2 linked regions of the Coturnix japonica genome follow. The protein of the gene in region 2 purifies or fractionates together with the protein of the main gene of each other region. This does not show direct contact. Links are inferred from orthologs where the notes say so. Each region holds a gene or a part of one and is shown on either strand. Other genes may lie near its edges. The genes, in order: RNF113A and CARNMT1.

Region 1 (12,195 bases), on a different chromosome or scaffold from region 2:
CCGGTCTCTGTTTCAAGAGAGGCCCCTTTGGTGTAGCTGCCCTACGGACAAGAGTAGATGTTGCTAAATGTCCTTCCTGCCCAAGGACGGGAGTAGAAATCTCAAAGGGGAAGGGTGTGCTGAAGCGATAAGGGAAACAGAGCACGTTAGTGACCATGGGAGTGTTTCTAAGAGGCTTCCAGCTGCTGTCATCGCTGTTTCAAGGAGGCATTAGTCTGCACAGGGGGGATTTGAGCCCAAAGCAGTAAACACGCTTCTGTGTGCAGAGGAACCCCCACGGCACAGGCTTTGCTTAAGGACACATTGCCACATCGATGCCAGGACTGCTAGTGCTGGAACGGCTTGGTGATTTCATGAAGACCACAGATGATGTCTGTGACAAAGCAAGGAAGCCCAGTCCAGGCTTCCATGGTGCATGTTGGCACCCACGGCCGCTAGCCCTGATTTATCTAGGCCTCTGTTCCTAAGCTCCTTCACCACCTATACAGCCCAAGAAGAGGAGGACTGAGTACTGACTTCTTACCATAAAGCTCAGGATGGGACAAGAACCCCTTCACCCTGCACATGCTGCAGCTTTCACTTTTCCTGCCCTTCCTTGGAGCATCTGATGGCCTTCCAATGGATCTGGGCTTGAGATCAAGGCTTGGGGCTGGAGCTCACCTGCAGGGCACATGCAGCTGCTGGGAGTACAGCAGGAGGAGTGCTGCAGTTCTGTCCTTTGGCACTAACCAAGGAGTAATTTGGGCTGAAGAAGGCAGCATTCAGCCCAGAAGCTGCTCAGTCACAAAGCATTTGATTCACAGCCTCTCACCTGCCTGGCCCTGGGGACACATGTAAGGTCAGGGGAGCATCTGGAGTGGCCCCTTGTGGAAACTCTCCAACTCATTGGAGGACCATATCCCCCAGTGACCATGACCTGCCTCCAACACACAGCACTGCCCTTGCTGCCTACCATCCCCATTTCACTGGGCCCCCAAGCAGCCCACTGCTGGCTGAGAGCGTCTCTGAAAGCTGATGATGGCTTTCCAGCACAGGAAAGCAGCGTGACTGCAAAGGGTGAGAGGCCCCTCTCTGCCATATGGTTCCCATTAGCAGCCCTGTGAAGTCAGTGTTTACTGCTGGGATCACTGTGCCATGGCCGGAGGCTTTCCCAAAGACCAAGCACAGTTTGGGGGGGAGGATCCAGGCCCTCTCCCTCTCCATCCCAAGAAGATGCCATGTCCCCAGCAGCATGCCATGGGTTCCACTCCTCAGAGGGGCTGTTGAGCATTATATTTGGTACTGCTGACATCCCCATGACCACGTGTAGGATTAGTGCAAATGCTGGCCATGGCATGGCCAACCCCTGCATCAAACAGGCCAGCATCAGCCCAGGGACACAACAACCCAAGTGCTGCTGCAGCTCCTCAGGCATGGAAAGGGGCAGCAAGCTGCAGCCTGGGTTGGACAACATAAGTGTGGTGGTCATGGCTTCAGCCTTGGCAGACCTCAAGTCATGGTGGTGATGGGCTGGCAATTGGACCTGATGGTCTGAGTGGTCTTTTCCAGCCTCAATGATTCCATGATTCTAAGTTGGCTTCAAATCTGAGCTCCTCAAGTGGCTCCAAGCCAACACTGGTGTTTGGGACCCAGCCCAGGTTCCTGCTGCTGCAATCCAGGACAGAGGGCTCTGGAGGGAACCAAGTGGTCCACTCATGCAGCCCCCCATGACCCTACTGAGCCCCACCACGCAGGGCTGCCCCTCTCATCCACTTTCCATCCACGTTTCGTGCTGTCTCTTGAAAGGCTGCCAGTGGGCAGGAAATCTGCAGCCGAAATGCTGAGGGATGCTGACAAGGAATAGTTGTGGGGAGGAACAGGGCTGCCTTTGTCAGAGCAACAATGGAGGACCCACAGGAGCCAGGGGAAGCCCCTGCCCAGCCATTCTACTCTCCCACCTTCAGCTCTGGGAGCTCCACGTCCAGCCTTACCCTGAGGATGCTGCTGGGATCCATCTGTTTTCCAGCAGTGGGAACTGAAGCACAGAGCAGCCCATCCCTTGGACTAGAGCCATGTTTTATGGCATCCATTAAGAACCACGAAGGGAATCTCTGCTCCCTGGGTTCTGCTATCTCGTTCAGAGTTCAGAGAGTGGACAAATGCAGCAGGGAGCTGCTGGGTGGGGGAGAGGAGATTCTTTTCCAGGCAGAGAAATGTCTCTCATTAGCACCAGATGATAAAGCAGAGTCAGAATGACAGGTTGGGAGGTTCAGATTGGACATTAGGCACAAATGCTTCAGAAGAAGGAAGACTTGGAAGCTCTGCAGCATGGTACTAAGTGCAGCACACACAAGCACAGCAGTTCTGCCCCTTCCATCCCCTTCTCAGTGCTTCCTTAGCCTTAGAAGACTCCCCCCATGTTCTACCCACAAACTCAACCTCCCAGTTTCCTACCAACATGTTTATCCCTTTACTGTGGAATTTTGCTCCCAGTTTGCCCACTATAACTCATGGAGGTTATGCTTATCAGCCTCCTCTTTTTTGACCACAAGAAGCCAATCCCTTTAATCTGTTCCTATAAGACAAGTTCTCCATCCCTTCTGCTGCACCAGAGGAGGGCTCAGACCTTTGCATCCCCCTTGGACCCCTTCCCTAGCAACACACATCTGTGCTGATCCACTCTTCCCCTGCAGTGCCCCCCACTCGCTGGCCATATGGAGATATGGAGCGGGCTATGGGCTCACAGGAGGAGTGAGAAATATATTGTGTATTTAAAGACTGCTATAATCCCTTCACCCAGATTTAACGTTGTCCACCCCGGAGCTTTGCTAATAGCAAGGTAAGCTCTGCAACACTCCCAGATGGCAGATAAAAAATGGTATTAGTGGAAAGCAAAAGGCAGACACCTCTAGGAACATGGCAGCTGTGTGACAATGGGCTGCAAAGAGCCAAGGATGGGCATAGAGGAAAAGGAAAACCCCTCACAGCTATGGGACTGCTTGTAGGTTCACAGGCCTGCAGGAGGAAACCACAAATGGAACTCCCTTCCCTAATGAGAAGCCTCATGGGGGCTTCTGGTGAGCAAAAAAGGCCAGTACTTTTGTTGTGAGCCTCATAGAAACAAGGATGTATGCGGTCACTGCACACCCCGTGCTGAGCCTCACTGCTCACCTGGGAGTTTGCCTCCTATGGGACCCCATGGGGAGAGGGGAGCAGCACTGAGGCTGGTTCAGACTATAGTCCATCAGTTACCCTGCCATTATGTTTCAATCAGCATTAATAATGCTGCAGGCATGCTGCCCCCAGCCCTAAAGCTCAGCTTGGAGAGCCCTCGTGAGATGCTTTCAGTGCACAAAGCCCCATTCCTAAAGCACAGCACAGGCTGCCACACAACTCCAGCGTTCCAAAACAGATCTCCACCCCATCAACAATGGAAAAACCAATAAAACCCATCATCTACGTGGTATCTCAGCTGGTCTGAGGGATCCAAAGGGATTACAGGGACCAGATCATTGCCTTACCCAATGGTCACAGCACAGAGTTGCCAACTGGGAGCCCTGGGGCTGTAGTTTTTTGGGTGATGCTGAACACTTTGGTTTTTTATCCATTCCCTTTCCCCCTAGTGAAAGCAGAGCTGTTTCCCTTTGTGAAGCCCTGAGGGGGGTCCCCAGCTGCTCGGGGTGGGGGATGTCAGAGCTGGGGGTGTGTTCACGTTGGGATCAAACCTCACAGTCATGCAACAACCTCCTGAGGGGGTGATGGAGGACCTGTGGCTGCAGGGATATAAAGCAGGGCTGGATGGGCGCTGGGAGACACAGCACGGAGATACAGCAGGCAGCAGCCAAGGGGCTGGGGGAGGAGGGGGCATAGAGAAGCGGGGATCTAACAGGTTTTCTTCTATCTCCTCTCTTTCTGCTCAGCTTAAGAAAATGGATCTGTCCAACCCCACCACACCCCCAAGCACGGGATGCAGCACACAACAAAGAGGGAGCTCAGCACAGCTGGGGAACCCCAAAATGTTCCTACCCACCCCCCTCTAAACACCGCACGCCCAGACCCTATTCACTCCCCTCCCCGCTCAGCACCGGGTGCGGACCCCTCTCCATTTCCCAACAGAATCCCAACCCCAAAAGGCATCCAGAGCTCAGACAGCATCCCCCGAGTGCTCCCCCACCCTAAAGTCCCTCGACCGAGCCGCCTCCCGGAGCAGAAGTTCCCCCCTGGAGGATCACACAGACATTTTGGGGGGGGGGGTCCCCCACCTGCTGCGCAGCCCCATATGGCAGCACCGCTATCGGGGCTCCCCACCTGCAGCCCCCATTTCTCCCCATCATCTCCGAGCCCTCCCACCCCGCTTTGTTCCCCTCCCCCATTGTTCCCGACAAACCCAAACCCACCATACCCCCGGGTCCGCCGCCGAGCAGCACAAGGGCTGAGCCCTCCCCGTGCTGTCCGTTGCTCTGTCCGTCCGTATCTCCGTCGTTCGCTCCGTCCCTTCCTCGCTCCGTGCGCGCTCCCCCCGCAGCCCCTTTTATCGCGCGGCCGTGGCGGCGATTGGTTCCTTGCGCGGTGCGGATCCGAGCGCCGCTCCTTTGTGTGCGGCCGCCTCTCCCTCACCCGGCGGCCCCCGCTGCCCCCACCCCAAAACCGCATCGCCGGCCCCATCCCACCGACCCCCCTCCCCAACCCCCCCATACCCCCCCCATACCCCCNCCCCCCATACCCCCCCCATACCCCCACCCCGCATTCTGCCGCCCACCGTGGGTGCGATGCTGCGCTCGGGGTCGCGAAGCAGCGCTCGGGGTGCGGGTACCACCCAGCGAGCGGAACCGCGATGGTGGATGGGGTTCTGTAGGGGTTCTGCTGGGGTTTTGTTGGGGTTCTATTAGGGTACTGTTGAGGTTCTGCTGGGGTTCTATTGGGGTTCTGCTGGGGTTCTGTTGGGGTTCTGTAGGGATTCTGTTGGGATTCTGCTGGGGTTCTATTGGGTTCTGTAGGGGTTCTATTGGGTTCTGTTGGGTTCTATTGGGTTCTGTTGGGGTTCTGCTGGGGTTCTATAGGGTTCTGTTGGGGTTCTATTAGGGTTCTGTTGGGGTTCTGTTGGGGTTCTATAGGGGTTCTGTTGAGGTTCAGCTGGGGTTCTGCTGGGGTTCTGCTGGTGTTCTGTTGAGGTTCTGTTGAGGTTCTGCTGGGGTTCTGCTGGGGTTCTATTCGGGTTCTATTCGGGTTCTTTTGGGGTTCTATTCGGGTTCTATTGGTGTTCTGTTGGGGTTGCTATGGCGACTCGCAATTCACCCTCCACGCCTGCAGGTGGCGCTATGCGGCCCGAGTCCTCCCGTCCAGCAGGGGGCGCTGTGCGGCTCTGCGCCCATCTAGTGCCGCTCTGTCTTGAGGCGGCGGCTCAAGATGGCGGAGGGAGGCTCAGTGTGCGGCTTCGTGTTCAAGAAGCGGGGCCTGGCGGCGGGGAGGGGGCGGCGGAAGCGGCCCAGCAGCGACCAGGAGCAGGGTGAGGGGCTGACGGGGGTGGTATATCCCGATGCGGCCTGTTGTGGTGCACGAGGGAGGCGGAGGAAGGCCGTGGGTCGTACAGCCCCTCAGTGGGGCCCGGTTATTGAGCTGTGTGATTGAGGGGCGCTGCCTCCATCCCCGGAGCCCCGCGGTCAGGCCCATTAAACCCCATTAAACCCCATTAAACCCCATTAAACCCCATTAAACCCCGCAGGGAGCAGCGGCGATGAGGGCAGCACCGTGGTGAGGAAGGAGCGACGGAGGGACGCCCCCAACCCCATGATCCAGAAGGTGAGGTGCACACAGGGCGCTGTGCTGTTGTTGTGTGGGGCACATCCAGCCTTCACACCCGCTGTCTGTCTGTCTGTCTGTCTGTCCGCCCTTCAGACCAGGAGGTGCACAAAGGAGCGGCCCTCATACGCCCTGAGCAGCAGCGATGATGATGATCCGTCGAAGGAGATCGGAGTCACGTACAAATCAACAAGGTCGGCGGTAAGGACTGAGCGCAGATGAGCTTCTGGGGTGGGGTTAATCCCATACTCATATCCCATACTCTGCTTCTGTAAATGTGCCATCAGCTCTTCTCAGTTTTGATCTGTAGCTGTGTTTCCCTGTCCCTCCCCTCCTAACACACAAGCTGGGTTTATTCTCCTGATATTCTGCATTGTTCAACAAGGAGCTCAGAGCAGCTCTGCTGGGAGGAAAGGTTGAGGGAACTGGGCTTGTTTAGCTTGGAGAAGAGAAGGCTCCGGGGAGACCTCATTGTGGCCCTAATACTTGAAGGGCAGGGCAGCACGTTCTTAGGAGGAGGTGGAGCCTTTGGGGTTCCAGAAGCTTTTGGTGTGTAAGATGGGTTTGTTTTTAATTTGAGGCTGGTTGTAATTATTTGGTTTCTGTGCAAATGAAGAGCTGACAGAACCTCAGAGCATTTGTCTGTTCACTGTATTCACAAGGAACCAAGACTAGATCACTGAATTAAAACAGAGCACAGGCTGCCCACAGCTGGGTTAAAAGTTCAGATATAACATCCTGCCTGTGGGCTGGGTGGTCTCATGGCTGAAGCACTGAACATGAGAGACCTGAGATCAGTTTCCAGCTAAGACAAGATGAAGCTTGAAGGAGTAAAGTGGGGATTTCTGTGTCCTGACTCTGCAAACTAAAACCTGGGAGCAGTCAGTAATTAACATCCTGTCTTGCACAAGTACTAGGCTGGATGCTAAGAGAAGATGCTAATAGAAGTTAGAAACTGCTGGAGGGTGAAGCAGGCCATGCCCAGCACTTGTTCAGTGACTGGCCCTCCAGGTAGCCGAGGGGTTTCTGTCTCATGCAGCCTTTCTTTTTACTGTTATCACATATTGTTCTTGCTTTTCAGAAACCTGTTGGCCCAGAAGACATGGGGGCCACAGCAGTGTATGAACTGGACACAGAGAAGGATAAAGATGCCCAGGCCATCTTCGAACGCAGCCAGAAAATACAAGAGGTTGGTCAGCCTCACTTCTAAGAGTTCATGCTATGCAGGAGTGTGTGTGCTTACTCATCTCCTTTTGCATGCCAAGACCTTGAGTCTTTTCTTGCCTGCATATTTGAGAGGTTGGAAGTGTTGTCTATGTAAATGGGGGGACTTGCTGGTGTTATTGACTACTTGGTATTAAGGAAGGTATGGCCAGGAGGGGAGGTTGGTATGGGAGAGATAAAAGCTCGCTTGTGACATGAAGATCTTCTGACCCCTAATTGCCTTTTTTTTTTTCTCTTCTAGGAACTGAGAGGAAAAGAAGATGATAAAATTTACCGTGGTATTAACAATTACCAGAAATATGTGAAGCCCAAAGACACGTCAATGGGAAATGCCTCTTCAGGAATGGTCAGGTAGGTTGGGACGAGCCTGGGATGGGGGGGGTGGATCATAGAACCACAGAGAATTTCAGACATTGTCCCCAGGGGCACTTTTCTGGGCTGAAATGATGCTGTTTTTGGAGCTTGTTCCTATCTAATGAGTTTGGTGTCTGGTTCTGGCCGGGCCCGCAGGGGTTTTCTCCATTGCAGTGACACAGCTGGACTGAGCCTTCTCCCACCCTTTCAGAAAAGGACCCATCCGTGCTCCAGAGCACTTGAGGGCCACGGTGCGGTGGGATTACCAGCCAGACATCTGTAAGGACTACAAGGAAACAGGGTTCTGCGGCTTTGGAGGTGAGTGGGTCTTGCCTGCAGGGATCCAATCCAGATGGTGAGCCCAAGTTTTGTGGCATGAAATTGCACAGTTAGTAATTCATGGGCACCTGTTTGCAGAGTTAGTATTTCCTCACCTGAGGTTATGTAGGTGGTGGGATCTCCTTTTCCTTTTCCTATGTGGGTGAATGCTGGAGCTCTTGCTGTGGCATCCAGAACGTGATGCTTGTGGCCTGTTGATCCTGAGAGGGCAGGATGAGGCCCTCTCTTGGCCTCATCTCTCTTGGCCCTGCCCTGTAGCATGGGTGGGTACAGAAGTAATTGGGTTTCACCTTGTACTGAGCAAATCTCAGGCTGCCCCTGGATGAGGTGTCCTTTGAACAGCTGGGCAATGGGGGTAGATTGTTCATCCCTCTTTTGTGCTTTCCAGACAGCTGCAAATTCCTCCACGACCGCTCAGACTACAAACACGGCTGGCAGATAGAAAGGGAACTGGATGAAGGCCGCTATGGAGTCAATGGTACAGCACAGCCCCTCTGCTCTCCTGCTCCCTAAGCTAATGGTGTATGAGGCCACAGGGTCCTTCCTTCCCTCGTGTTGAAGAGTGAATGTGACTTACAGACTTTGCTGTCTCAAACTGCACAAGCAATGGGTTGATTAGATGGAGAGAATTCCTCATTCCACAAAGCTATGGAACTCTCTGCTGTGGAGTTACCTTAGCTCCAATAACAACTGCCAGTGCTGTGCAAATCTGCTGCTTTCAGATTACCACTGACTGCTACCAGGGGGGATAATTTGCTCTGTCTGTCTATACAAAATATAGCAGTCTGTTGTTGTATGAATCCCAGCAGCAAGCAGCGTGGAGATGGGGAGATAGATAGAGCCATCTCCTGCAGCACAGATGGAATGCTTTCATGCTTTGTCACATCCCTGTTTCTCACTCAGAATCCATATCTGTGGCCCAGGGATGCAGCCAAGTGTAGCTTATGAACTGCTGGGCAGCTGCAGGGGATGTTCTCTGAGTTGAAGAGTTCAATAGCAGCTGTTTTGGAAAAAAATGTGAAAAATAAGGAACTGGAGGATGAGTCTGTTTATAGCAGCAAGTGGGTGTCGCACAAAATGTGCTCCTGTGAGATGAGCAACGAGCACACTGGCTCATTAGACCTAATTATATCTCAATCCCACACACGTTACTGACATCAGTGACACCCAGATGCTGTTGTTTCCAGCAGAGTCCATCCCACCTGCTGTACTTTCTCCATGTTCCATATTTCATGCCCTGTGCATCTGCTGGCCTGGCTGCCTCTGCTCTTGTTCCAGTCTGGTTAATTTTCCCTCGTGCAGATGAAGAGAACTATGAGGTGAGCAGCGATGAGGAGGATATGCCTTTCAAATGCTTCATCTGCAGAAGTTCCTTCAAGAACCCCGTGGTCACCAAGTAAGGAGCCAAAACATCTGTAGTGGGCTGAGTCCTTCAGTCAGTCAGTCATTCTCTTTGGTAGCAAACACTGGCATTGTCCACATGCTGGTGGAAGGAGCACGCTTGTTTGCTTTTCTGGTGGGTGGGGAAAGCCTCTGCTATGCAGGGAGTTTCATAACTACATCTCAAGCATCAACTTGGTGGGGTCTCAAGCCTTTGTTGTCCAAGAACCTTTTATATTTCTATAGATGCTGCCTGATCACATCACCTTGCACCTGTGCTGTCTCTGGGAGAGCTGATGCTGCATAGGGCTCTGTACATCCAGCTTATTTTTGCATCCCTCAGGGCTCAGTAGTTGATGATCTCTAACTCCTGGATGCAGCAGTTGTATCTGGTGACTGGCAGTACCGTCTGTTTCTCCATACAGGTGCAGGCATTACTTCTGTGAGAGCTGTGCCCTCCAACACTATCGCAAATCCCAGCGCTGTTACGTGTGTGATAAGCAGACCAATGGAGTCTTCAACCCAGCCAAAGGTAACGGCCACCTGTGGGATAGAGCTGCTGTATGATCACAGCATTCGGCTGCAAGGTGGAGCTCACAGGCAGAACTTCTCTCAGTGCTTGGAAACACCACATCAGGGCCTGGGTGCCACCACAGGGGTAAAAAAAGAGTGTTTGTGTTTGCCCAGAGGGGGAGACTGATTTCTGGTGAGGGTGCTGGGAGTGCAGACAGTAGCTCTTCTGGTCAGTAATCCACTGACAGAGCCTGGAACTTTAGCATCTGAAGCCCCACTGAAGGGCTCAGTGTTTGGTGGTAGTTCCTGGCTTAGCTTTTGTGCAGATGAGTGATTTTTGGTAGGTGCTTTGGTTCCAGGACAGAGCTGTGTTGGCAGGTCCTGGGCATCCAGCTTTGCTACTGGCCATTCCATGTTGCACCTGGAATCTCATCCTGCATCTTCCTGCTTTTCAGAGCTCATGGCAAAATTGGAAAAACACAAAGGGGAGGAGGAAGAGGAGGAGTCAGACCACTCAGAACATGGTGAAGACCCACACTAGCAAAGCACTCTGTTTTGTATGGAGCCCAATAAAGTTTTCATGGGAAGAATGCACAGATCACAGCACTTGCCTTTGGGCCAGCAGCTGCAGCCATTGGTGGTTCATCCAACCAGGCCTTGTTAAAATGGGGGCACGAGTGGTGCCAGTTGTCAGAGAAGACACAGGACAGAATGGGTAAGCTGAGTTGTCTTCTGTGCCATTAGTAGGACCACGAGGGCCTGGGGAGGGAGGGTCTGAATTTTGTTCAGTCAAATCAAATGCTAAAAGCAGAGAGAAGAATGAAAACTATTGGCTTGTACCAAGTTTATCTGTCACTTTGGAAATGCTGTTTGGGAGGTAAGCCAGACTGCTGCAGTTAGTTGTGATTTATTGCAGCTCAGAGGAGCGTATTCCCTCCCATCTTTTCTGCTGCCTTTTGATCTCTAGAAGTCAAGAGCTTAAAGTAACATCAAACAGGATTCAGGACTTCAGAGAGTGATACCACTGTGGAATCATCCCTTGGGGAGGAAGCCAGCAGCTGTACCATGTCCCTAATGCAAGGTTTTATGCCATCAGTGGTACTTCTCTCAATGATTTTTCCCTTGCTGCAACCAGCTCTGTCCAGGCCTGTGGGATGGGGATAAGAATTTGGGCAAGAAGGAAACTTCACAATGGGTTGAACTGCAAGATGCAACCTCCTAAGTATGGAGCTGAGAAGAGCATAAGCTTCCATCACCCTGCAGAAACAGCAGACTTACAAACTTCAGAAATATTTTATTTTGGAAAAAAAAAAAAAAAAAACCCAAAAACTAGAGTAACAAATTTCATCTGGCTTCAAGTCGTTTACAAACAGAAGGACCTGCTGTCAGCACCGCTCCTCCCATCAAGCACGCTTACAGGGCTGGAATCCCAGTGCTTCATTTGAGAGTGGAAAGAGCTCCAGCACCTGTGGTCCTTGGAAAGGTCAAACTAAAAAGCCTTAAACACGCCTCCAAAACCAAATGCTGTGAGCTGTCACAGCCAGGGATCAAGGGAAGCTGTGTGAAAAGCAAGCAAAGGATTTTTATATCTCATTCATTTGGGGATGATGGTACAGCAATGGCAACAGAGGGCTTAGATCAGTGAGCGTAACATTCAAAGAGGTGTTTTGTGAGTAAGAGGATTTGGTGTGAAAATTACTTTCCCTCCATGCCAAGTCACTGAGCACGGGCTGGTATGGATATTCCATGCTGTAAAAGCAGCCCAGCTAACAGGAGGCTGAGCTGGATGTGCTGTGGGAGGTTAGAAAAGCTGGTATGTTGCACAGAATTACACATTAGGATTTGATGACCCAGGCAGCCATGGGAGGAGATGGGGATGGCATCTGACCTGGAGCTCAGAGCACACAGCCTCAACTGAGAGGAGTCTTAAAAGCTCTCTCCAGAGCTGGAGCAGAGCTCAGAAGTGCAGAGGAAAGCCCAGTGCAGTGAATGTGCCCGCGACAGCCTCAGGTTACCTTCTGGTTCTCATTTTCCACCATAAAGAAGTGACCAAGCTTAAGAATGCACTCCTTTCTGCACCCTCAGAAGTTACCCAGTAACAACACAAATCCGACTAGCTCTAAGAAAATGCCCAAAACTAAGAACTGCTTTCCTCCCCTTCTTAACTCTAAGGCACCCTTTAAAAAATACATATAAAAAAATAGGGTCGTGCAGCCTTCACCTGTGAGACGAGGAAGCCAATCCTTTTTAGAAACAAGGGGAAAGAGACCATAACTGAACAGATTCACTCAACCCGTTCTTGTGTTCTCCTGCTACTCAGCTGCAAGAACTGGACTATGGGGCACTGCACCACCCTGAATGCTCCGCAGCTCCGGTCTGTCCATTTGTTTCCAGGCTTCTTTCCAAGTAAACAGGCAGCTGAAAGTTCCTTCCCAAGGACCTGTAAACTCTTCTATGTGTAACATTCATCACCTTTTATGACTCAGGAACAATAAATTACAATGTCCAGAAAGCTCCTCCAGAACCAAGCAGAGTCTCTGTTATTCTAGAACTCCCAATCATCCACATCCAGCTGCTCCAGGTTTGAAACCAGCCCAAAAATGCCAC
Region 2 (11,156 bases):
CAGACTTTCTACTGCAGAAAGGTTCCAGCCTTTCTGAAAGAAAACACCGCTTTCTTAGCTGCAGAAAATACACGACCAAGAGCCCAAAGGGTCCATCGGCCGCGCACGGCAGTGCTGCCCGAGGGCACGTGGTTTTGCGGGGCCTGCAGCGCCGTGCCGGAGCGTCTGGGCGTGAGGCCCCAGGCTGCGAAGCAGCACCTCCCTCCCAGCCCCGCCCCGCTCCCCGCGCCGTTACCGGGGCGGCTGCCGGTTCCTCGCCCCGCCTGCCGTCGCTTCCTTCCGCCGTCCGCTCGTTCTGTGACGCCGCGGGCTCGCTCCGCCGCCGTCGCCTGCCTGCCGCGTCGCCCTGCTCGCCGCGTGGACTGCCGCCCCGCAGCCCGGGACGCTTTCCCGGAGGCGCCTCGGCCTCCTCCAGCTTCCGCTTGGCGGCGGAGCCGGCGCCCGCTGCCTCGTTCCGCGGGCGGCGCTCGGACAGGGCGCTGCGGAGCGGCGGCTCCCGCAGGAGCCGCTTGAAGGGCGCGTAACAGACCAGCGGTTCCGCGCGCCGCTTGGCCATGGGGGGAACCGGGCGCGCAGATTCCGCGCGACGCAACGACCGCGGCGGCGAACGCACCACCACCACCACTCGCCGAATGCGCATGCGCGCCGCCGCTTCCCCAGCACCCGCGTGGGGCGGGACAAGGCGAGACCACGCCGCCGTGAGGCCCCGCCCCGCTGCATGGGCAGCTCGGAGCCCTGCATAACCAAGGGCAGGAACACGCGGGACCTGAGCCGTACTCAAGCCGACGACAAAGCACACCGCACGCCGTGTCGTACTGCAAACTTTAATGTCTGAGTAAAATCAAGTTCATTACACACATTAAAAATAGCGGAAAGTTCACGCGGAGACATGAAGCTTCCAATCCCCATCTTTGTGACTGTGCTGTGTGTGCACTACATATAAATAATAACACAGGTAGCTTTACATTTGTCAAACATACTCCATACACAGAAGCATTTGTTAGGCCAGGATCTGGGAGCGCACTCACACTGGGTGCAGCGGGAGGAGTGTGGCACAGCAGTTATCCCCGGCAGGGCGATGGAGCAGCCTAGGACCGCGCAGGCAGGGCAGAGGGTTCCACACCACTGACTCACACCACCGATTCACAAGGCTGTGCCGCTTCCAGCTGTTAAAGAAGCTGCTACGCATTAAAAGGAAATTCGTGGGGGAAAGCTGGCATTTTCCAAATGAGAAATACAAGCACATTGCTATATACATGATTAAAGTCAATTAAACCACTTCTATAACCAGTGCTGAAAATGGCACTTGTGACAACATGGGGCAGCAACGAACAAAGCCAACTGAATGAAGGATAGCAATGTTCAACCAGAACACAAGGGTACAATTTCATATGTGTAGGAAACATCGCATGTTGGGTGTAACCACTGACTGCTAGGACAGGGCAGCCCTCAGCCTCAGCAGGACCAACATTCAGCTAACTCATTAGCATTCAGGAACTTGGAAACCAAAACGCTAATCTTGTTTTATCTGAGCAGAAAAAAAAAAAAAAAGTGAAGAAACACAAAGTCTAACCAGAAACCAAAGTAAATAATACAGTAAGAGAATAAAAGTAAGATTATTATTATTATTTTGAAGGTGTGGAAGGGCTCTTATTTTAATCCCACTGTGGTAGCAGCACTTTAAAAACCTTTCTTGGACCAAAGCAGAAACTCAGCAGTTCATTAACAGAGTAAAGTCTTGGAGGTGCAGTTTCTAACAAGAGTATTTTGTGTAAAGCTGAAAACTTCTGTAGTCCAGAAGTCTTTATTCTCAGTAAAAATTCTGACCAGAAAGGGGCACGGTACTGAAACACCCACAATCGCTCTTTTCCTATGTGCAGTGTTAACGTTTAAACACAAACCAACAAAGTAACAGAGCTGTGTTTTTCTTCCATGCAAACTTTCATCTTAGAAATGAAGGCACAAATGTCCAGCCTTAACAGGAAAAACCCCAAACTTAGCAATGGAAATATAAAAAAGATGTGATTATGAGATTCTGACATCACCCTGAAAAAGGGACCGGAAATAATTGTAAACATTTAAACAAGTTATTGTCCAGTGCACCATTGTGACCCTGAAAACACCCTTAATTCCTTACCACAAGGTTCTTATAGTTTGAATAACAGTAAAGGTGGTACTGAACCAAACCAGTACATTAAAGAGGACAAATGGCTACCATGATACCTCCTCTAAGCTCAGTAATTTTTTTTCATTTATATAACTTAAGCAAAAGAAGATTCAGCCTTACTTCTACGAAGGTTTGGCTAGGATTTGCAGATTAAATATCCACCTAAGCCTCATTAACCAGAAAAATAATTAGGAAAAGGAACCTAGAAGTAAGCCACTAAGTAGTAAAGTGCCTAAAGCTACAATGCTGACCCAGGTTAGGAAATTTACTAAGTTACAGCACATTATTTACATGGTTTTTTGTTTTTTTTTATTCCTCAAGAAAGAGGGATTTTTCTCTGTCACTACCTACAAGTAGCATGGATAACAGTTTTGTCATTAACACTGAAAAAGAGATGAGTGAAAGGTTTACTGTAGCTTTCTGTTAATTATATGTTTAACACTTTGGCTTAAGCGGTAAGTAGGTGACTCAAAATCAGTGTGTCTTAAAGCCACAATGCATCCAATATTTCTGTTTCAAGGCCATGAGATGATCATTTAGCTAAAACCCCCCTGGTAGGTTGCCACCGCCTCAGTAACAGGTCATTTAATCATTTCATAAATTTTCAATCATTTCAGACTTCATAACTGACTTTAAATGTACATTTAAAAATACTTCTTTAAATGTGATGCAGTAAGTACAGTAAGTACCTCTTTGCAGAAACACCCAAAAGCAGAACACCCAAAATCATTATAAATCCAAGGAAAACGAGGCAGCATTTGTAAAATTAGCTTGGCTCTGGCAAACAATTTTTATGTCCTAAAAAACATTTTTGTTCTTAACGCATTCCAAAGCACAAAGACAGTATATGCAAATATTTTATCCTCCATTTTCACTAGTCATAGTACAAATACGTATGGCATAGTACATGTCTGGATAGCAACAGAAATATTAAGAAAATAGACACTATCTAAATCTTATTAGGAATAGGAAGGCACCACTGATTTGAGGTTGCGTCCAGACATCAATCAGTCCATATTATTTTTATTTCTAGCATTCAGGCCAAACTCTTTTCTGACTAACCTATTCAAAGCACTTCTCTTCTGGTTTTCTCACCACAAACAACACACATTCATAGTAGTATTTCATCATGGAGAGTTCATTCACAGTGTAAGTTGACAGAACAGATTCTTTCTCCACCTGGAAAAAAAGCGTAAGTTTTCAAAACATTTTCAAGCACTACCCAAACTTCTCTTAGTGAAATAAACTGCTACTTAATTATAGCCCATAGATTTCAAAGCCTCACACTTTAAAAAAATGAGGAAAGCAAACTTGTGATGCAATTACACACAACCTACTCTCCTAAAAGTTTTTTGTCTATGACGCTAGCTTGAATGAACTTTAAGATAAACTTTTATTTAAAGACTTTATCAGGTCTCTACCAATACTGCTCAGTCAAAGCTACATCATCTTCTTACCTCTATATGGAAGCCATACTGCAGTATAACGTTTTTTATATCCTCATAGCTTAACTCTATTGAAAGTTCATTTGCCAGATTTTCAAAGTGGTAAAGAAGAGGACCTGGAGTGCAAACATAAAATGGAAATGTCTATCAAAAACATTTTTAAAACCAAAACCACATACTGAAAATGTGAAGAATGCTAACATCCAGACCCACTAAGCTGGAACATATTGCTATCACTGAAATACAGTATTCTGTGCAAAATCACAGTAGTTCAATTGCGTATGCAAGAATGAAGTCTCATTTCCCATTAAATCATGTTTTCTGTACCTTAAACTTTCTTCCATTCTATCAGTCTACTATCACTGCTGTGTGTACCAACTAGAATGCAGGCCAAACCATGATCTACTCAAGACCTGTGCTCACATTCTGTGACTGACAAGTTTATCCCACACAAAATGTTTAATAATAGAGTTTTGCCTGCCAGTCTCTCACCATAGGAAACTTAAACCCTGTTTTTAGTTAAGATAAGGAAACCCATAAATCTCATTTCCAAAACTTATACTTAGGAGCTTTAATTAATAGCAAGAACACAGCACACTAGAATTGTCAGATAACAAAAGTGTGACACATGTATGAGAAACCTAGCACTGGGAAGATACACTTCAACATTTCAAATCATGTGCTGGTAACTTGACTGTAACTAATATTTGAACAAATGCTGAACACAAAATTTAAAAGTTATGTGTGTTCTTATCTCCACACAGTCTTTAGTACAGACGCCTTCATCCCCACAACTATTTCATAGCACAAAATGCCTGCTATGTGAGTAAAGGGAAGTCAGAAGTTGCAAGAAGAAAGTTGGTCACACTTGCCTACATTTATCCATATGCCTCCAGGCTTCAGTATTTTCCATATAGTATCAATATAATCAATAACGTTATGTGCTGTATCAATGAAAAAGCAAGTTGCTATGCAGTCCCAAGTATCTGTGTAAGAACAATAAAATGTACAGATTAATTTAAATTTTCTTTTCCCCTATAGAAATTCATAATTTAACACCAGTATTTGTTTATACGCTCACTATTTCCTTTAAATAACAGTAACAACTGAACACCACACTTAAATTAAAAGTAAACTGTCATTTACAAGAAACTAAGTGCAAAACATTTTATGTTAAATACATTTAAAGCATGAATCTCCCTGTTTGTCTCTAAACATGTATCATTGAAATTGTAAAAGTTTAAGCTTCTGAAATAAAATAAAAATCTTAACATTCTTAAGATAACATCTTCAGAACAGCAAGCAAATGTAAGGAAGGCAACTACTGTAAAAATACTACAAAAAATAACAAAAATATTTTAATAGTGGTGAAAAACTGCTATGAAAACAGAATGGATGAGAGCTGTAACAAAAAATAGGCATTCCAAGTGATATCTAATGCTGTGTGAGGATAAAATACTGACTTTTATATAACCTGAATATTTATTTATTTATCTAGCTCTACCAGGTTCTGAAGAAATGAGATGTTAGACTATATATAAAAGTTAAGTATGTGCTGCCTTTGATCTAGTCTTGTGCACATAATTGACAGAGTAGGTGCTAAATATGGTCATCTGAAGGTTAATTCAGCTCCATCATAATAGACTGCTTTGGCCACAAAGAAAACAGCACAACTAACCTACCATCACAAGAGAAAAAAGTGGTATCTGTACTGGCATAAGTCTCAGTCTTTGTTACCTATCACTGCCACAGCGTATCTCGGAAATACTCATGACTGACCAGTAAGCACACATACATCTGCTTTAATAACAGGAAATAAATAAGTAAGAAATACAAATTTGTATATTTTGTACTGAATAAGAAAATTAACTTTCTATTCCAGCTCATAACATCATCTTTCCCGATCAGGTTAACCTTTCCATAATTTTTCCTTGTTGACTTATTCTAAAAGACACAACCGTAACAAATGTTCATTAGGAAAGGAGGAAAGGATGCATCCATTTTTTTATTTTTATTTTTTAATAACCAAAACAAAAAATTGATTTAGAAAAAAAATATCTTACTAACGCTGGTACTTTTTTGCTTAATGCTCATAGATATTGGTTATATTCTGTTTATGTGTTTATATATTACAATCACAACAAATAGTCTGAACCACGCAGCTGGTCTAAATGATGATTTTACTCACTGCATTCAGAGTAAATTTCTTGAAAATCCCCTGCTGTCATAGAGAAGTTTGAACCAGAAGGAAGACTGTGAGGATCAACATCAGGGAAGTAAATTGGACGTATCTGATCTGCAGATCTTTTGTTATTGCTAAACTGATGAATCCAGGGGTAAAGCTTACATGAGTTAACTTCAGAACATCTAGAAAATATAGAAATTGGAACAATTTAGTTTCAACTAATTGCTTACACATTATCTAGAAATGTACGAGACAAACTTCCAACATGCTTTTTTTTTTTCGTCAATGAAGCTCATGCTAAACCTATTATTGTTTTTTCACCTTATCTAGTTCAAAACAATTCAGGCTGCCCAACAATTTATGAGCTGTTCAAAATAGCAAATTCAGTCTGACACATCAACTGAACCACATGATGACTGCCTTTTCTTCATTTTAATTTTTCTCCTTTTTACAATTATTCCCAATTTCCCCAACAAAAATGACTAGAATTCCCTGCATAGAATTACTGACACTTGTGATTTAATATCCATAGTAATTATAAGCATTTTGCATCAATCTTTTTTTCCCCCCTATTTACAGAAAGGATTCTCTTACTTCTGTACTTGTTTTAAACTTCCTTGACCACATCTGTTCTCATCCAAGGCCTTCCTGCTCCTGAACCATAAAAGTTTCAAAGGCCAACAAAACAAAAGCATTTTTCGGATGCCAACTGAAATTATGCATTTAAATTTATATATATATATAAATAAATAAATGAATGAATGAATGAATATATTTATTTATATATGATAAATAAATAAATAAATATATATATATATATAAATTCCTTTTTGCAAAGTGTAATTTTTGTAATTCCATTTTAAGTCAGCAAAATCTAAAATACTCAACTTATGTCAAGTATAAGCATGCACTAATAAGTATGTCATCATAAAACAGAACTTGTGGATTGACATGACCAACTAGAAGAACATGTATTTTAAAAACTGACAAAAACAGCATGAAAATATGAGGAACACCTTTACACACAGTCCTGCAAAATCAATATTTAATTGAAAAATGAGGCGATTTTCATTCCCTGAGCAAAAGTGTATCCTGCTCTCTAGCCCAATTATTAAGGCTATGTTACACACGCATCACTAAATTCAGATAACAGAGGACACATCTATCCAACAGAACACACAGCAAACACTTGTAAACTGCAAGCAGTCCACCAGCTTGTAGAAAACACACTATTCACTGGAGGATAAAAAAAAAGAAAAATCAGTGTCAGAGTCCTAGAAATAACAGTTTTTACCTTTGTAAATATTTGTATTTAATCCATAAAAAACAGAAATACCCCACAATGCTGCTGTTGTATGAGCAGCAGTATACTGAGCACATTAACTGATGTTTATTTGTCCACCATGTATGGAGATAATCAGACACATGCAATTAGCCAACGAAAACAATTAGGTAAAAAACTGTAACCACAGGGGCATCATTTTCTTAAAACAAAACATTTCAAAATCTGCCAACAAATGTTTTGTGCTAACTATTGTGGCACTCTCATGTGCTCAGAGTCAATTTGTACTAGCCTATGAATATTCTGTGTAAGAATGAAATTTTCCAAAAAAGCAAGGAAAAGGAAAAAAAAAAAATCTGAGTAGATCAGAATGGAATTTTTTTCTGAGCTATAAGGGAGGAAACACCTCTAGATATTTTTTTTTTCCAGCACAAATTGTACTAATGTAGACTTCCCAACAGTTTTAGAAGGAATTACTGATTCAGTATAAAAGACTAATTCTTATGTTTACAGTCCCTCTTGAAAAATCTTCCTTTTTACTCAAAAAAAAAAAAAAAAAAGTCAACCAAAATAACAACAAGCAACGAAGCAAAGAAACTACAGCAAATCTTCACGTTTCCCTCTTTCTGCAAAACATGTTAGATAAAGTTGACATCCTCAAGTAAAACTGTGACACATTTCATTTCTTTTCAAGAAAAGGCAGAACATTTCCTGTACAATATTTAGTCTGAAACGCTTGCACTCCAAAAGATAGTGAGGCCATACCTTACTTTTGACCACTGATTTCAAAATAGAACGCTAACTACTTTCATCCTAAGGCACTCACGGACATGCAATAAGTAGAATTGAGCAGCCTTCTCAAAGTGTCAAGATTTATCTACAAAGATGTTTTTGCATGAGACCAAGGATTAGCCAGTTTTTAATTAGCATGAAATACACTTCTATTTAAGAGCTCTTCTTAAAGCACTCTGTTATTTGGGTACAAAATTTTATATTACTTCACCTGAACTTTTGGTATGCCTTCCAGAGGCAGGAAAACAGGTTATGCTTTTAACAGCTTTTGTTCTTAATAAAAATCACAGGGAGTCTGTTCATCACCTCTGCCATCTGTTACAGACTGAACTCATCTAAATGTAACAAAAAGAAACCAGCAGTAAGAGCCTTAAATCAGAATAAATAAAGCAGAATCAGGTGGGTGTCTTGGAGCCACTGGAGTTTAACTACTCCAGAACAAGTGTATTTTCAGATTAAAACTTCATAATAATGCATTTTAATTTTATACTTCAAATATTCACAGGTGAACATAGCTAGGCCTTGATGCATTTCCTATATTTAACACTATCAAACCTCATTCAAGGTGAAAAAAATGTCATAACTTAAGAGAATTTATTTTTTATGTCTGTTCAGATCAGCAGGTATCTCTGCACACAGAAGACGTTAGTCATATGTAGAATAGACTTGCTACTCATGACAGTACCTTATATTCCTAAAAATAAACTAAGGTCAGCCAGGGGCACAAGGCAGATCGAATCTGTAAACACACACTAGCAAAATCCTTCTAATTTTATCAAATGAAAACCAGAAATGTATTTAAACCAGAGTCTAAGATTAATCTGCAAAATTTTTGAAGTTTTTTTTTTCCTTTACACTTGTCCTTAGCCGCTATGTTCTGCTCACGTTGATCAATGCTTATTTTCCAAAGCCAGGAAGGTAAATATAGATTTCCAAAGGCTAACAAGGAACAGACACCTAATACTAAAAACAAAACTCTCAAAATTCTGTAAAATTTTCCAAACTGATATCCCAAGGCATGATCAGATCTGACAGTAAGGAAATCAGCTGAAATGACTGGAATTCAGTTAGTGTAGCAGTTACGAGTATTTTTCTTCCCTGCAAATAACAAAATTTGTAACTGGTAACTCTCCCAGAAACAAAGTGACACCCAATTTGACAGTGTAAGATCAAAAACAGTTAGGAAGTCCAATCTATGCATGCCTTTTCGTTAAATATATTTTCTATAAATAGAAAACAACAAGCAAATGTTTAAAGATGCCATACTTTGCGAAGGTGAAAAACATGTTTGAACCAATATGACTGCCGAACAATGTTCCCAAAAATGGCAAATTAATACTTTAATGCTACTTTGTATAGTTCCAAAAATTTCAAAGAAACAGAAAGGTTACACAGTTAGGGAGGAGGGGATGACTTCCTTTCAGTAGCTGCAAGGTATTACATCAGCTTAACTATAAGATGCAACTTCCAGCATCAGATGACAATCACTGGAGAATAGTGCAAAAGGAGAGCAAATATATGTCTAGCAACATCTTATTTTCATTACATTTATCACTACTGCTTTAATCAGATATGCAACAGTCATATCTTGTGACAATGTTTGCTTAAGAAGTGGTTCAGTGTATCTGCATAATTGTTTTCCATTTTAAAATGGTGCCTAAGATTTTAGTATGAAATCTAACGCTGTTATCACCACCATCAAATATCATGCATGTAATTAATTAGTCCACATTTGACAACCTGTGAAACAGGTGTACTTTTTTTCTTTTTTTCCAGAAAATGATGGAAAATAAAAACAGTAGCACTTACTCCAGGTTACATAGGGAATCTGTGATAGAATCTAGGCATTTTAAGTTTCATAGCTCAAAACCCATGCTTCCTGTTGTATTGTTAATGACTTACCCATAGAACTCAGATATAAGCTTCTCTTCTCCCCATTACCCTAATCATTATTTGCATCAAAACATTCTAACAAGTGGTTATTTGTGTCCCACGTTATGACTTACAAATCTGTTTTATTTATTCATTTTTTTTATTACTAATAACTTCACCTCACCTGTACCTGCAGGTTTTGATCAGGAAGTAAAAGATAAGCTATGTACCTGTTGAGTACAAAGTTAGAAGAAAAGAGCATAAAGAGGCTCCATTCATTTCCTTGGCAAGCATAACCGAGCATAGCTATTTCCCACGCCAATCTACCTAGCCCAGCACCAGGTACCAGGATATTAACTTTGGAGAAATCCCTGCAACAGAACAAAAATAATAGTTAAGTGTTTATCTGATACCTCTTAACAAAGCTTACAGAGGTCCAGTCAAACAATTTTTTTTCCATATTCTTGGATATTACAAATATTTCCTGTATGACTTTACTTTTTAAAGGCAAATGGAGCCAGTCAAGGTCATATCATTTAGCCATATAGTCAAAATAATTCATAGAAAATGACCAAAAAGAACATAAGAAACCCTTATTGAGAATACAGTGCATAAATATAAAACAAAATATTTCTTCTGAAGACTTCTACAGTTATTAAGCTAAAATAATTTCTTAAGTGAATTTCAGGAATAAAGAACATGATTAAATAGCACCATTTTCTGTTTCTGTGATGATCACTGATAACCACTACATTTTCTAGAAATCTTCTTGATTACGTTGCATGGAAAATAAACAAGCATTTTGAGATCAGAAACACAAAGCAAATCAAACTTCCATGAGCCGATGAACAATTCAGACAGTAAAAACTTTACAGCAGTTACCCTTTCAAAAACCGCGTGTGTTAAATATGCCTATTAAGTGACAAAGGATTCTCTAAACAAAAGAACAGCACTGTTCTCTACCCTTTCACTTGCCAAAACTAGACATCAGTACAAGAACATCAGAATATCACCAGCAGTGTGTAGCTACTGAGAGATTTGCAACAACTTCTCATCTTTCAAGAGCAGAACTAGAACTGCTCTTTCAGGTAACAAAGTCAGACACACATATGCATACATTTTAACTGACATACTTCATCATAATACAACCAAACCTTCTCTTCTGAAAGAAAAACATTCCCACACAAAATGGAACAGGTACATTAAAAAAATAATTTTCATGTTTCCAGTCCTCAACAAGACTCTGCAATTTCATGTATCAAGAATGCTAGTCCATCCTCTCACTGCATGTCACCTTCAAAGACCAACAAGTCATATAAACAATTAAATGAATAAAGACACAATAAGCACTTTCGAGTACACAATGAAAGAAAGCAAAGTACACAGCCTTTGACTACTTAAAAATTCAGACTG

What was found.
Region 1: the proteins of CARNMT1 (region 2) and RNF113A purify together in Homo sapiens (affinity purification with mass spectrometry; 3 studies listed by BioGRID and IntAct, counting the BioPlex papers as one, with this or other methods). This does not show direct contact. The link is inferred for Coturnix japonica from reciprocal best matches to the Homo sapiens genes CARNMT1 and RNF113A.

Annotation. Positions count from the first base shown.
Region 1 is NC_029542.1:2,225,118-2,237,312, forward strand, and holds the start of RNF113A (E3 ubiquitin-protein ligase RNF113A), read left to right. Parts: upstream 1-5,321; 5' UTR 5,322-5,385; coding exon 5,386-5,485; intron 5,486-5,701; coding exon 5,702-5,778; intron 5,779-5,874; coding exon 5,875-5,979; intron 5,980-6,859; coding exon 6,860-6,967; intron 6,968-7,243; coding exon 7,244-7,353; intron 7,354-7,567; coding exon 7,568-7,674; intron 7,675-8,083; coding exon 8,084-8,173; intron 8,174-8,997; coding exon 8,998-9,091; intron 9,092-9,500; coding exon 9,501-9,607; intron 9,608-10,043; coding exon 10,044-10,129; 3' UTR 10,130-10,303; intron 10,304-11,810; exon of another isoform or gene 11,811-12,133; coding exon of another isoform or gene 12,134-12,195. Other genes in the region: STRADA (STE20-related kinase adapter protein alpha), read right to left, coding at 12,134-12,195. UniProt on the Homo sapiens protein: Required for pre-mRNA splicing as component of the spliceosome. As a component of the minor spliceosome, involved in the splicing of U12-type introns in pre-mRNAs. E3 ubiquitin-protein ligase that catalyzes the transfer of ubiquitin onto target proteins.
Region 2 is NC_029547.1:33,101,549-33,112,704, forward strand, and holds the end of CARNMT1 (carnosine N-methyltransferase), read right to left. Parts: intron 10,115-11,156; coding exon 9,974-10,114; intron 5,980-9,973; coding exon 5,801-5,979; intron 4,599-5,800; coding exon 4,485-4,598; intron 3,729-4,484; coding exon 3,625-3,728; intron 3,347-3,624; coding exon 3,230-3,346; exon of another isoform or gene 1,167-3,229; 3' UTR 811-1,166; downstream 1-810. Other genes in the region: CZH9orf40 (uncharacterized protein C9orf40 homolog), read right to left, coding at 236-640.